3 linked regions of the Oryctolagus cuniculus genome follow. The protein of the gene in region 2 binds, or shares a complex with, the protein of the main gene of each other region. Links are inferred from orthologs where the notes say so. Each region holds a gene or a part of one and is shown on either strand. Other genes may lie near its edges.

Region 1 (3,750 bases), on a different chromosome or scaffold from region 2:
AGTGCGGTGCGCCGGCCGCAGCGCGCCAGCCGTGGCGGCCTTTAGAGGGTGAACCAACGGCAAAACGAAGACCTTTCTCTCTGTCTCTCTCTCTCACTATCCACGCTGCCTGTCAAAAAAATAAATAAATAAAAATAAAGAGTTAAAAAAAAACACCATGGAAGCAACCCAAACTTCCATTATTGGATGAACAGATAAGCAGAAGGTGGTATAGACAAGTAATGGAATATCAAGCAACTTCAAAAAGGGAACTCTGACACTTGCTACAGCATGGATGAAATTTGAGGACATTTTGCTAAGTGAAATAAGCCAGTGACAAAACAGACAAATAATGTATGATTCCACTCACACAAAGAAGCCGAACTCACAGAAACCAGAAGGATGCTGCTTTCTAGGGACTCCCTGGGGCGTGGGGAGGAATGAAGCTAGATTTGTTTTATGAGGTGTGAATGTTGCAGGCATGCCAATCTCAACTTTTATTCCAAGTTTTTGTCCCTGCAGAGGTAAGAATTCAAAACAGAGCAATACATACAGAGCACGAGGGAGAAGACGATTTATTGAAAGAGTGAATATACATTCTCGTGTGAGTGTGGGCATCCCTGCATGGAGAGATGCTTGTCATGAGTGGGCCAGAGTTGCCTAGGAGGAGAGAGAGGGCAAGGAGACCAGAGAAGGACCGTAAGTATGCTCCTGAAGCCAAAAAAGCAAAAAAGGAGTGTTTCCACATTTATCAGTCCCTTTTGTGAGGTACTGGGTGGTGCTCTGATAAGTATGCAAACAGCATGGAGTTCAGTGTGAGGCAGTTTCATGGTGCCTTGGCTAGCAACTTACCTTCCACGTGGTCATTATGGTTCCCTTCCTTCCTGATCCCTGATGAGGCAGGTGCATCATGGGAAAGGGGGCACACTGGGTTGACAGGTAAGGGGGAGGAGTTGCCATGCAGGGTTATGCAGAAATTCTGAGAAACTATTCCAGCTCAACTCTTTCTACCTAATCTTCATGCCTAGTTCCCCCATCATTAAAAAGAGTTTTCTAGATGCACAATAGTGTGAACATATTTAACGTCACTGAACTACACACTGAAATAGCTAAAACCGTGACTTTTACGTTTTGTGTATTTTGCTACAATGAAAAAAAATAGGATCACAAATGGTTTTGGTTCCTGTGCTGAAAAGCTTACTGCAGCTTCCAAGAGCCATGCAACAGGAAGGTTAGAACAGCATCATGGGAATGCAGACTGCAGAGACAATCCTGGGGAGACACCAGTCGAGTTTATGAAGAAACGGACATAACAGGTAGGCAAGTAGGTAACTCCCTGAAATGCTCAAAAACCGTTTGGGAGAAGCCTTCCATTGCTGCTTGAAAAACCAGAAGGCCCAGAAGAATCGGACTGAATCGCCCCCTCCAGTCTCACTCCTTGGGCGCTCCCTGGGTATGTAATGGAGAAGCCCGGCTGGTCCAGCAGATGGCGCTAACGCCCATAGTGCGCCTCCAGTCGCCTAGGCGGCGCTCTGGCGGTACCGCTCTTCCCTACGTCTCGGTGACCCTTCCTTCCGCTTCCCGAGCCCGCCTCTTCTCCCACTAGCGCGGAGGTGCGCCTGCGCTGGTTCCTGGCCCTGGGGAGCATGGCGGCGTCTTCGAGTGGTGAGAAGGAGAAGGAACGGCTGGGAGGCAGCTCTGGAGCGGCAGGCGGTAACAGCACGAGAGAGCGGTTGTTATCTGCGCTTGAAGATCTGGAGGTCTTGTCGAGGTAATGGCGCCGGCCTGAGAGCCTGGCTGGGGCTGGGCTGGGGGACTGGCCCCGGAGCCCGCCGCCGCCGGCCCTCTGCGCTCATTCCTGGGTCTCGGCGGGGAGGCCTGAGCTTGGGAGTCCCCGGTGCTTGAGTGTTAAGGATATGGGGTCTGCAGATCTCTGGGACTCTGGGCAACACTTTTTTCTTTGCCGTCAGAGAGAATTTTAGTCATGACAGCCACCCTGGAAGTCCAAGACGGCAAGAGCCAGAGCGAACCTTAAGAGGTCTCGCGTTGGGAGACTGGCACTAATGGGCTGCCCCTTGGGCGCCAAGCACTAGGAGACTGTCGTGAAGGGGAGGCTGGGTGCCGACGCGGAGGAGCCCGGGGTCAGGGAGAGACAGGTGGGTAAACAGTGCTGGTGCGGGGCTCGTTCTTGTCCGAGCAGTGCGTTGCGGGCCCGGGAGTGTAGTCAGGGCAGGCTTTGGTTGGAAAGAATGAATTCATCGGACTCAGCAGGTGGCAGGGAGGTGACATAGTGTGTGCAAACCTTGGAAGTCGGAGGCCCCAGGCCCTGGCGGAGTTGTAAGGTGCTGGGGATGGCCGCAGAGCAGCATGGGAGACGGGATGGGATCTTGTTCTGCAGGCTCTCAGTTTTCACGGTCGTCTTTCAAGTCGGGGCCTTCCTGTCTTCTGTGGTTAACCTGGATCTAAGTTGTGTTGTTTTTGCAGCCTGCCAAAAGTTTCTACTTTCTTTTGTACTTGATATACTTTGTCATTTTATACTGCTGAGCACCATCGTTATTTTAAAAAGCATCTCGCATCATTCTTCTTAAAAAATACTCGATAGCCCGTATAAGCAGAGTCAGGCCCAGTGTCGGGTTTCTGTCAAGGAAAGACCAGATATATGATTATGCTGTGGTGGTCCCTTAGGATTATAATGGAGCTGAAAAATGCCTGCAGCCTCGTGGCCTTGTTGCCCTCTGTGCTCGTGTTTGTGGTGACGCTGGTGTGAATGGGCCCACCTGCTGCCGGGGGCGTGAAAGTGTAGCACATACAGTTACACACAGCCCCTCATTCCTTTTCTTTAAGGTTACTTATTTGAAAGGCAGAGTTACAGAGAGAGGGAGAGAACGGGAGCGAGCTTTTCCATCCACTGGTTCACTCCCCAGATGGCTGCAAAGACCAGGGCTAGGCCAGGCCAAAGCATGGAGCCTGGAACTCTGCCGGGGTCTCCTGCCTGGGTGGCAGGAACACAGTACTTGGGCTGTCTTTCGCTGCTCTCTCGGCACATTAGCAGGAAACTAGATAGGAGGGGTATCTGGGACTTGAACCCGGAGCTCATATGGGATGCCAGTGGTGGCTTCACTGGCTATGCCATGATGCCAGCCCCCGTCCATAATTCTTGATAATAAATGACTGTTACTGATTTATGTATTTACTGTGCAATACTTTTCATTGTTATTTAGAGTTTATTCCTCCTATTACTTAAAATTTAACTGTTAAGCAAAGTGCCACATTCTGCTGGGAGCAGCCTCCTATACCTTGTTTTTGCTGGGAACTGTTGATTGCGTCAGGCCACAGCAGGTGGCCGCTCCTGTCTGGGTTTGTGTAAGTACAGTCACCTCACCGTGCATTTGAGGGATGCCTGACTACTTCCCATGTCACCGCCAGCTGTACTTCGTCAGTGCCATTCCTACTCTATCTCTAGCTGGCTGAATGATTGAGTTGTCTTTCAGCATCTGTCTCAAATGTCACCATTTCCGTAGCCAGCATTCTGTGACAGCAAATGCCGATCTGCTTACACTCAAGATCAGTACTTTGTCTTTGCTGTGAATTTAGCCCTTGCTGTACCATTACTTACCAATGTTAAGTACAACATTTAGTGATGTAATGAAAACCTAAAAACACGCAGACAACAGAAGGTAAATGGCTTATAAGCTTCATCCACTGTTTACATTGTAGTAGGATCACAAACAGGGCACCTGGAATTTTCGGTCAGCCATTGCTCAGTACAGG
Region 2 (3,650 bases):
TTTACTCTCCAAGTACTTTGCTTTAGCCAAGCTTAAACTGAGTTTGATAACGAATGATAGGGAGTGGGCCTATGCAAAGTTAAGACACCGCTTGGGATGCCCACATGCCTGATTCAGGTCCCAGCTCCTCACTTCTAATTTAGTTTCATGCTGATGAAGCACCCTGGGCAGCAGTAGATGATGGATTGAGTACATAGCTTCCTGCCACCCACATAGGAGATCTGGACTGAGTTGTGAGCTCCAGGTTTCAGCCTGGCCTAGACCTGGTTGTTGCATGCATCTGGGGAGTGAACCAACAGATGAAAGATCTGTCTGCCTGTCTGCATCTCTCAAATAAAAATGAAAATAAAATTTTAAAACTTTTTGAAAACAGTAATAATCCATTACTGAGGCCTAGGAGATCAGTTAACATTTTAAATTGCCTCGAGTGCCTCTGACATGTAAGATGCACAAGACACTTCATTTAAATCACTAAAAAGATGAATATAAGTCATAAAAAGATTTATGTACAAATAAAAAATTTAAGTATGGACCATAACCATGAAATTACCTTACAAAAACATTCTCATTCAGGGGTAACTACCTACACAATTTCAACCAATTAAAATAATGTTTACCATTTGTAAAAAATATTTGTAATTTCCAATATTCTTCTTCTGAGAGAAATTTTAAGTCCTTTTGGCGCTCCTTCAACAGATCTTGTTTATCCAAAATCCACTGCAAACTAGGAAGAAGTAGAGATATTAAAGAAGACATGTAAAGCAAAATCACAGAAAACACACCAAAAAAAGCACCTTGTTACTTTAAGAGGTACAAAGAGATGGAGTAACCTCAAAAGATAATATCTCTCATATTTCTTAAAATGTGAATTACCAGTAAGAATTATTGGGGTGGGCATTTGGACAACTGGTTAAGCTGCTGGTTGGGACACCAGCATCCCATTATCAGAGAGCCTGGGTTTCAATCCCATCTCCACTCCTAATTCCAGCTTCCTGGTAAGCAGCAGTGATGGATGATTGCTGGGTCACCACCACCTGTGTGGGATATCCAGCTTGGGTTTCTGACTCTTGGCTTCAGCCAGGCTCAGCCCCAGCTATTGTAGATATTTGGGAAGTAGGCCAGCAGACAGGAGAGCAACTTGTCTTTCAAATTAAATAAATATCTTATTAATAATGCAAATTTGTCCAGAAAAAAATTCCACACAAATCTTTTCCTTCTTCCTCCTCTCTGTTTTGTATTTCATTGATTCTAAGTCTCTGATATCAAGATGTATCTTACGATCAGTTATGCTTTATCATTTACTTGGCAGCATGTTTTTATAGAAAATTTTATTTATTTATTTAATATAAAGCAGAGTGGCAGAGAGAGAGAGTGAGAGAGATCTTCCATCTATTCATTCACTCCCCAAATGGCTACAACAGAAGGGTAGGGCAGGTCAAAGCCAGAAGCCAAGAATTCCATCCCAGTCTCCAGCGGGTGACAGAAACCCAAGCACTGAGGCCATAATGTGCTCCTTCCCAGGTACCTTAGTAGGAAGCTGGATTGAAACCAGAGCAGCTAGGACTTGAATTGGCACTCCAATATGGGATGCAGGCACCCCAAGCTGTGGTTTAACCCACAGGGCCACAAAGCCCACCCCTAACTGCCAACATGTTTATTCTTTATTAGTGATGTAAGCTTATGATGGAATTATTTGGCACCAATGATGGTGCTTTTAGACTTAATGAAGTGTTATCTTTTCTCAATTGTCCCTGAGTAACTAGGGTAGTTTCCCTACTATAAATTCCAATCATGTTAAAAGCTGCTTCACAATTTTACACAGATAGACTCCTTCTCTTGCCTAGTTAAGTACAGTATTTTTAGTCAGATTTGAAACTTATATGATAAAAAAAATTTAAACACTATTTTGCAACCTGTTTTGTTATGTCTTTAAAGCACTTAACTTGTTTTTCAGCATCCTCTTAAATAAGCTGCACAGTGTTAAGGATGGATCATTATTTAGCCGATCCCTATTGATTGGGATGTAGGTTATCATTTTTTTTTTACTACCACAAATAATGCAATGAACATCCTTGTAACTGATCCTTGCATATTTGATTAATAATATATTTAAGGGGCTCGCACTGTGGCATAGTAGACTAAAGCCAGCATCCCATATGGGCACCAGTTCTAGTCCTGCTGCTCCTCTTCTGCTTAAGCTCTCTGCTATGATCTGGGAAAGTAGTAGAAGATGGCCCCTGCACCTACGTGTGACACCTGAAAGAAGCTCCTGGCTCCTGAACTCTGGCCATTGTGGCCAGTGGATGGAAGACCTTTCTCTCTCTCTGTAACTCTACCTCTCAAATAAATAAAAAGTAATAATAAATTCAATACAATTTCCTAGAAGTAAAACTAATGGGTAAGTTGTCATGGTAACTTTGATATACACTGTCAGTTTGCATTCCGGAAAAGTTATACCAATTTCCATTCCTATTAATAATTCATGTGTCTTAAGATATTTAACTCCATGAGCTAATGCCAATATTTCTCCCTTTCTCTGTCTATAATTCTACCTCTCAAATAAATAAATAAAATCTTAAAAAAAGGAACTGGAAATGTTTCTTCTTTATTTATGAACTGGAACAATTTCAATAGCAGATCCTCTTAAAAGCTAACAGGAATTTACCCACGAAATAATGTGAGACTCAAGCATTTTTCAAGGAGCTCTCTGGTAATTTTCTTAATTTGTTTTGGCTTTCATATTTATTGCCAAGGAGATGCCCCAAGAGTTACTCTGGGTTTACTAGCTTTCCAAATTCCTGATTTTTATATATTTTTGTATTATCTTATCTTCCTTGATTTAATTAGTTTAGTGTATTATTTTTTTGTTTTCTCAGAAATAACCGGCTCTTATAATTTTTTCCTTTAATACATCAAAATCAGTATTACTTTATTGTGTTTCTTTCAATTTCCATAAATTTGTTTCATTTTTAATATAGCATTAATATTTAATTTATTTTTATTTCTTCTGAGTTATTCAAGACAATGATTTTCTAATAAATTCAGTTTTGGCTATATCCCAATTATATAGATCTGATTTTCTAGGTACAATGTAATTGTATTTTTTCTCTTTGATATAATAAGTTGGTTTTATAAATTTTTTAAAAGATTCATCTATTTACTTGAAAGGCAGACTAGAGAGAGGGAGGGCTGGAGAGACAGATCTTCCATCTGCTGATTCACTCTTCAAATGACCACAATGGCCCAGGGCTGGACCAGGCTGATGCCAGGAGCCTGGAACTCCATCCAGGTCTTCCACATTGGTACAGGGACCCAAGGTCTTGGGCCATCTTCCACTGCTTCTCCACGAGCATTAGCAAGGAATTGGATTGAAGTGGAGTATCCGGGACTAGAAGTGGTGCCCATATGGGATGCCAGTGTTGCAGGTGGTGGCTTCACCTGCTATGCCACAACACTGGCCCTATAATTTTTATTTTTGTTACCTACCCATTAATTTGTTCAGTCAACCATCAAATATTTACTGCCCTTCTAGTTTTACTGAATTTTGGCCAAAGAACAAGTTTTGTCCTACTTCAACATTCTCAAATACAAGTATATTGTGATTTGCTCTTAAATTACATCTCAACAATCATTTTGTTTTTAAACTTCAC
Region 3 (3,750 bases), on a different chromosome or scaffold from region 2:
GCCCTGCCTTTACATGTAGGAGCCCGAGTATGGACTGGAAATGGCAGATGTTCTGCTCCCAGTAGTAGACACAATTGGGCCATCGCTGGCCTGCTGGAAGACCCCTTTGTCCTGCTGGGTAAATCACTGACTGCAAGGCAGGGTCAAAAAGCAACAGACACCCCCCCCCCACACACACACACACACTGTCCAGGGGAGGGCACGGCCTCCCACCCTCCTCTGGAGCCTCTCCCAGGCCTCTCCTCTCCCAGCTGCAGCGCGTCTCCAACTGGGCACCACTGACACGTTAGGCCCCGTGATTCTGTGGTTTTGGTGCTGGGATCCCTGGCCTCTACCCACGACTTGCCAGCAGCACTCCTTGTACCTAACACAAACGTCTTTAAACATCGCCAAGTATCCCCTGGGGGACAAAATCCTCCCCCCCCCCTCCAGGATGAGAACAACTGTTCTGCAGCCCACACGGAAGGCAGAAGGTATTTTAAAAATGCGGTTGCATCATGTCAGTCCTGTGCCGAAAACTATGCAGCGTGTTCCTGTTAGACTAGAACCTGAGTTCCCGTGGTGACTCAAAGGCCCTCTAGAAACTGGTCCTGCCTGTTGCCGTCCCCTCTCTGCCTCTCACACACGAAGCTCCCAGCTCTCCCTTCTTCTCTCGGGGAACGTTGCAAGCTTGCTCCCACACACCCTTCGCACTTCTCTTCCTCCGGCCTAGGGTGCACTCCGCTGAGACCCCCGGGTGGGGGTGGGGCGCTCGGTGTCACCACACAGGTCTCAGCTCCACTGTGGCCTAACCAGCAAGGCCTTCCCCGTCCATCCCTCTATACCACCACTCTCCGCCTCTTTGCCCGTCAGCCCCGCGTGCGGGCTTTGTCACGCGTGGGGAGGCCCAGGGCGCGGCTCGCGCAGGAACCCAGGAACCGCGGCTGGGCTGTTTCTCACACCGACATGTGGGCTGCCTCCAGGAAGCCAAAGGCGACTGGGGGACCCGGCTGGACACAGTAGGCAGCCTCGCCTCCAGCCGCTTTGACGAGGCCCTGAGCACTCGGGAGGGCACGAGGGCGCCGCTTCCTGGAAGGCGAGGTGTCCACACTGGGGTGAGGACGGCTTTCCCCCAAGGGCCGAGGCCATTCTATAGGTGTTGAGGGGACCGCTCAGCACACCTCTACGCTACGTCACGAGGTGAGAAATGACGTCACAGTAGCGACCTGCCTCCTAGGCGGCAATGCCACTACACGCTGACGTGAAACACCTCCAAATACGGCGCTCCCCGGGCCGCAGCGCCCGGCTCAGGAGCCCGAGCGGGCGGAGCCAGCAGCGATGGGCGGAACCGCTGTCCTCCCAGCGCGGCTGGGCCCGCCCCCGTATCCCACAGTGCCCCGGGGCCGGAAGCGGGGTGCTGAGGCTTCCGGAACTTCCCCAGCCAGACTGGGCAGAGTCTCTGCCGAGCTGGTGAGAGTTCGCGTCGTTCCTTGTTATGGCCGCCGCCGTCGCCATGGAGACAGGTGAGTCGCGCTCTGAGCCGTGCGCTCCGCCCGGACCCCTTCTCCTGCCTGCCCGGGGCCTCCTTCAGGCCTAACGGAAGGGGCTTGGAGTGGGACCCGGGAGGCGAGAGGGCTCTTGGAGCATCTGGGAAGGTGCCGGCAGCTTTGCCTTTTTCAGAGTTTGGTGGCTTCGCACATGTTTTCTCCCCGCTTGCTGTTCACTCAGCGACCCCACCTTCGTCCCAGCGTGGGTGAGACTGAGGGACAGCACTGGAATCTTTTCTTTAAAAAAAAAACAAAAACTAGTATAAAGAGAACAGATTGCATAGGTACAGTTCCAGGAGACCCATACTTCCCTCTCTCCTCCTCCCCCCACTCGCGTTCCCTCCCCTACTTTTCATTTTTTTTGTTGCCAAGGCATAAATTTGATACAGTCTATAATAACGGCTTATTTCACCACGAACCGTAATATAGAGCCAGTCAAAAGTAGGAAGACCACCAGGAGCATAAACAGGGGCTGAAAGTGACAGTCGTGTCACCAGACAGCACTTGGGTCTGCTTCCGCGGGAGCTTGCATGAGTTTGGGGCGCCCTGGACCAACTTGCGTTATCCTGCCACTGATGCTGCCATTCGGGGTCTTCCGGCGCTCCGCAGTCTCCTAGCTCGCACTCGGAGCTCCTCACCGCCATCGACAGTAGCTACAGTGTATTAATAAAATACAGGGAGGTAGACTGTCACCCCATACCCGGTCACTCACTGCTGAGATGGCTCCAGTGACCCACCGAGGGAGGTCTCCTGCCGCATCTGTGTTCCCCTTGTCTCTGATGACTTCTCTTCAACGTTAGAGGGGTTTCTAGCTGCCTTAATCAGAGTTCTCCTTTTCTTAGGTTCCTAAGGAATTATGCCTCCCAGAAGTGTAGCTCAGCATTACGCAGGTTTCCTGGCTGCTGTTTCCTTTCGACCCATCGGTGTTGTATTTAGCGACCTTTGTCTTGGATGATTTTTGCTGTCTTCTCTCCTAGATGATGCTGGAAATCGACTTCGGTTTCAGTTAGAGTTGGAATTTGTACAGTGTTTAGCCAACCCAAATTACCTTAATTGTAAGTTGTTCACCTAATTAAATTGAATAGCTATTAATGATTTTTTGACAAGAGTTGCATTTCCTAATAGTATCTACTTTTATATATTCTCAATTGAATAGAATTGCACTTAAAGCAATTCTGTAGCTGTAACTGAGCAAACTAGGACTTGTGGGCTGGTGGTAGTCCAAGCATCCGTCTGACCTAGGTTTTGTTTTTTTTTTTATGCCTTTCAGTTCTTGCTCAAAGAGGTTACTTCAAAGACAAAGCGTTTGTTAATTATCTTAAGTACTTGCTGTACTGGAAAGAACCAGAATATGCCAAGTATCTAAAGTAAGTTTAATTTTTTGTAATCCTCGGTGTATGTATGTTTTACTAAAACCCAAAACGTGGATACGTAAATACTTCTTAGTTTCACACTGGTAAAAATGTATGTTGAATCTGCACGTTCTGCGCGTTCGGTTGTCACTGCCTACCTCTTAATTTGGATTCCTGCAGAAATCACTCACTGTTGGCTCTGTTTTCTGCTCTTTCCTCACTACCTCACCCAAAGCCAATAAAGCAACGCGATTTTCTACCCAGAAGCCGATGTGGTCCCTGGGAACTGTAGCTTAGAACATGCTGTCTGTTCCTTAGACCTGGGGGGCCCTCCCTTCCTGGCAGTGAAGTCTGCGGCCCGGCCGCATCTGGCCCAGTCTTCTTGACCTCCTCTCTACCAGTCTCCCCATTTCTCTGGGTTTCTGGTCTGAAGGACTCTGGTCCTCACATGCAGCAACATAGCCATTGACTGATAATAAAAGATCACACAGAAGTACCTGTGAGGAAGATGTGGAGGATGTCACTGTGTCTTCCAGCAGCGATCTTTGTGCCCAAATGCTTTGCATTCAATAACTAAAAAACACTGCACACTCACAACTGTTTCCGTACACATGCCGGTCCTTCAAAAAGTAAATGGAAAATGGATCCAAAAGACGAGTTTGTATTGGTGCAAAAAACTTTTGGAGTCCATGTGTAAGGGATTTCCAGAAGTTCTTGAAAAATTGTGTAATATGAAATAACCAAGTATAGACTACAAGCTTTTTATATCCAAATAAGCTTTTAATTCAGGTTTTTCCACAAACTTTTTGAACTACGTGTATGTGTGTTTGCCATTCAAGTTGTTCCAGAGACACTTTGACTTGAAGGCCAAT

What was found. The genes of interacting proteins can lie anywhere in the genome.
Region 1: CCNC (region 2) and MED4 share a complex: the UniProt entries of both Homo sapiens proteins name them as parts of the mediator complex. The link is inferred for Oryctolagus cuniculus from reciprocal best matches to the Homo sapiens genes CCNC and MED4.
Region 3: CCNC (region 2) and MED31 share a complex: the UniProt entries of both Homo sapiens proteins name them as parts of the mediator complex. The link is inferred for Oryctolagus cuniculus from reciprocal best matches to the Homo sapiens genes CCNC and MED31.

Annotation. Positions count from the first base shown.
Region 1 is NC_091440.1:67,126,257-67,130,006, reverse strand, and holds the start of MED4 (mediator of RNA polymerase II transcription subunit 4), read left to right. Parts: upstream 1-1,544; 5' UTR 1,545-1,625; coding exon 1,626-1,750; intron 1,751-3,750. UniProt on the Homo sapiens protein: Component of the Mediator complex, a coactivator involved in the regulated transcription of nearly all RNA polymerase II-dependent genes.
Region 2 is NC_091436.1:72,160,979-72,164,628, reverse strand, and holds part of CCNC (cyclin-C), read right to left. Parts: intron 725-3,650; coding exon 618-724; intron 1-617. UniProt on the Homo sapiens protein: Component of the Mediator complex, a coactivator involved in regulated gene transcription of nearly all RNA polymerase II-dependent genes.
Region 3 is NC_091448.1:49,926,723-49,930,472, forward strand, and holds the start of MED31 (mediator of RNA polymerase II transcription subunit 31), read left to right. Parts: upstream 1-1,245; 5' UTR 1,246-1,474; coding exon 1,475-1,502; intron 1,503-2,503; coding exon 2,504-2,581; intron 2,582-2,796; coding exon 2,797-2,893; intron 2,894-3,750. UniProt on the Homo sapiens protein: Component of the Mediator complex, a coactivator involved in the regulated transcription of nearly all RNA polymerase II-dependent genes.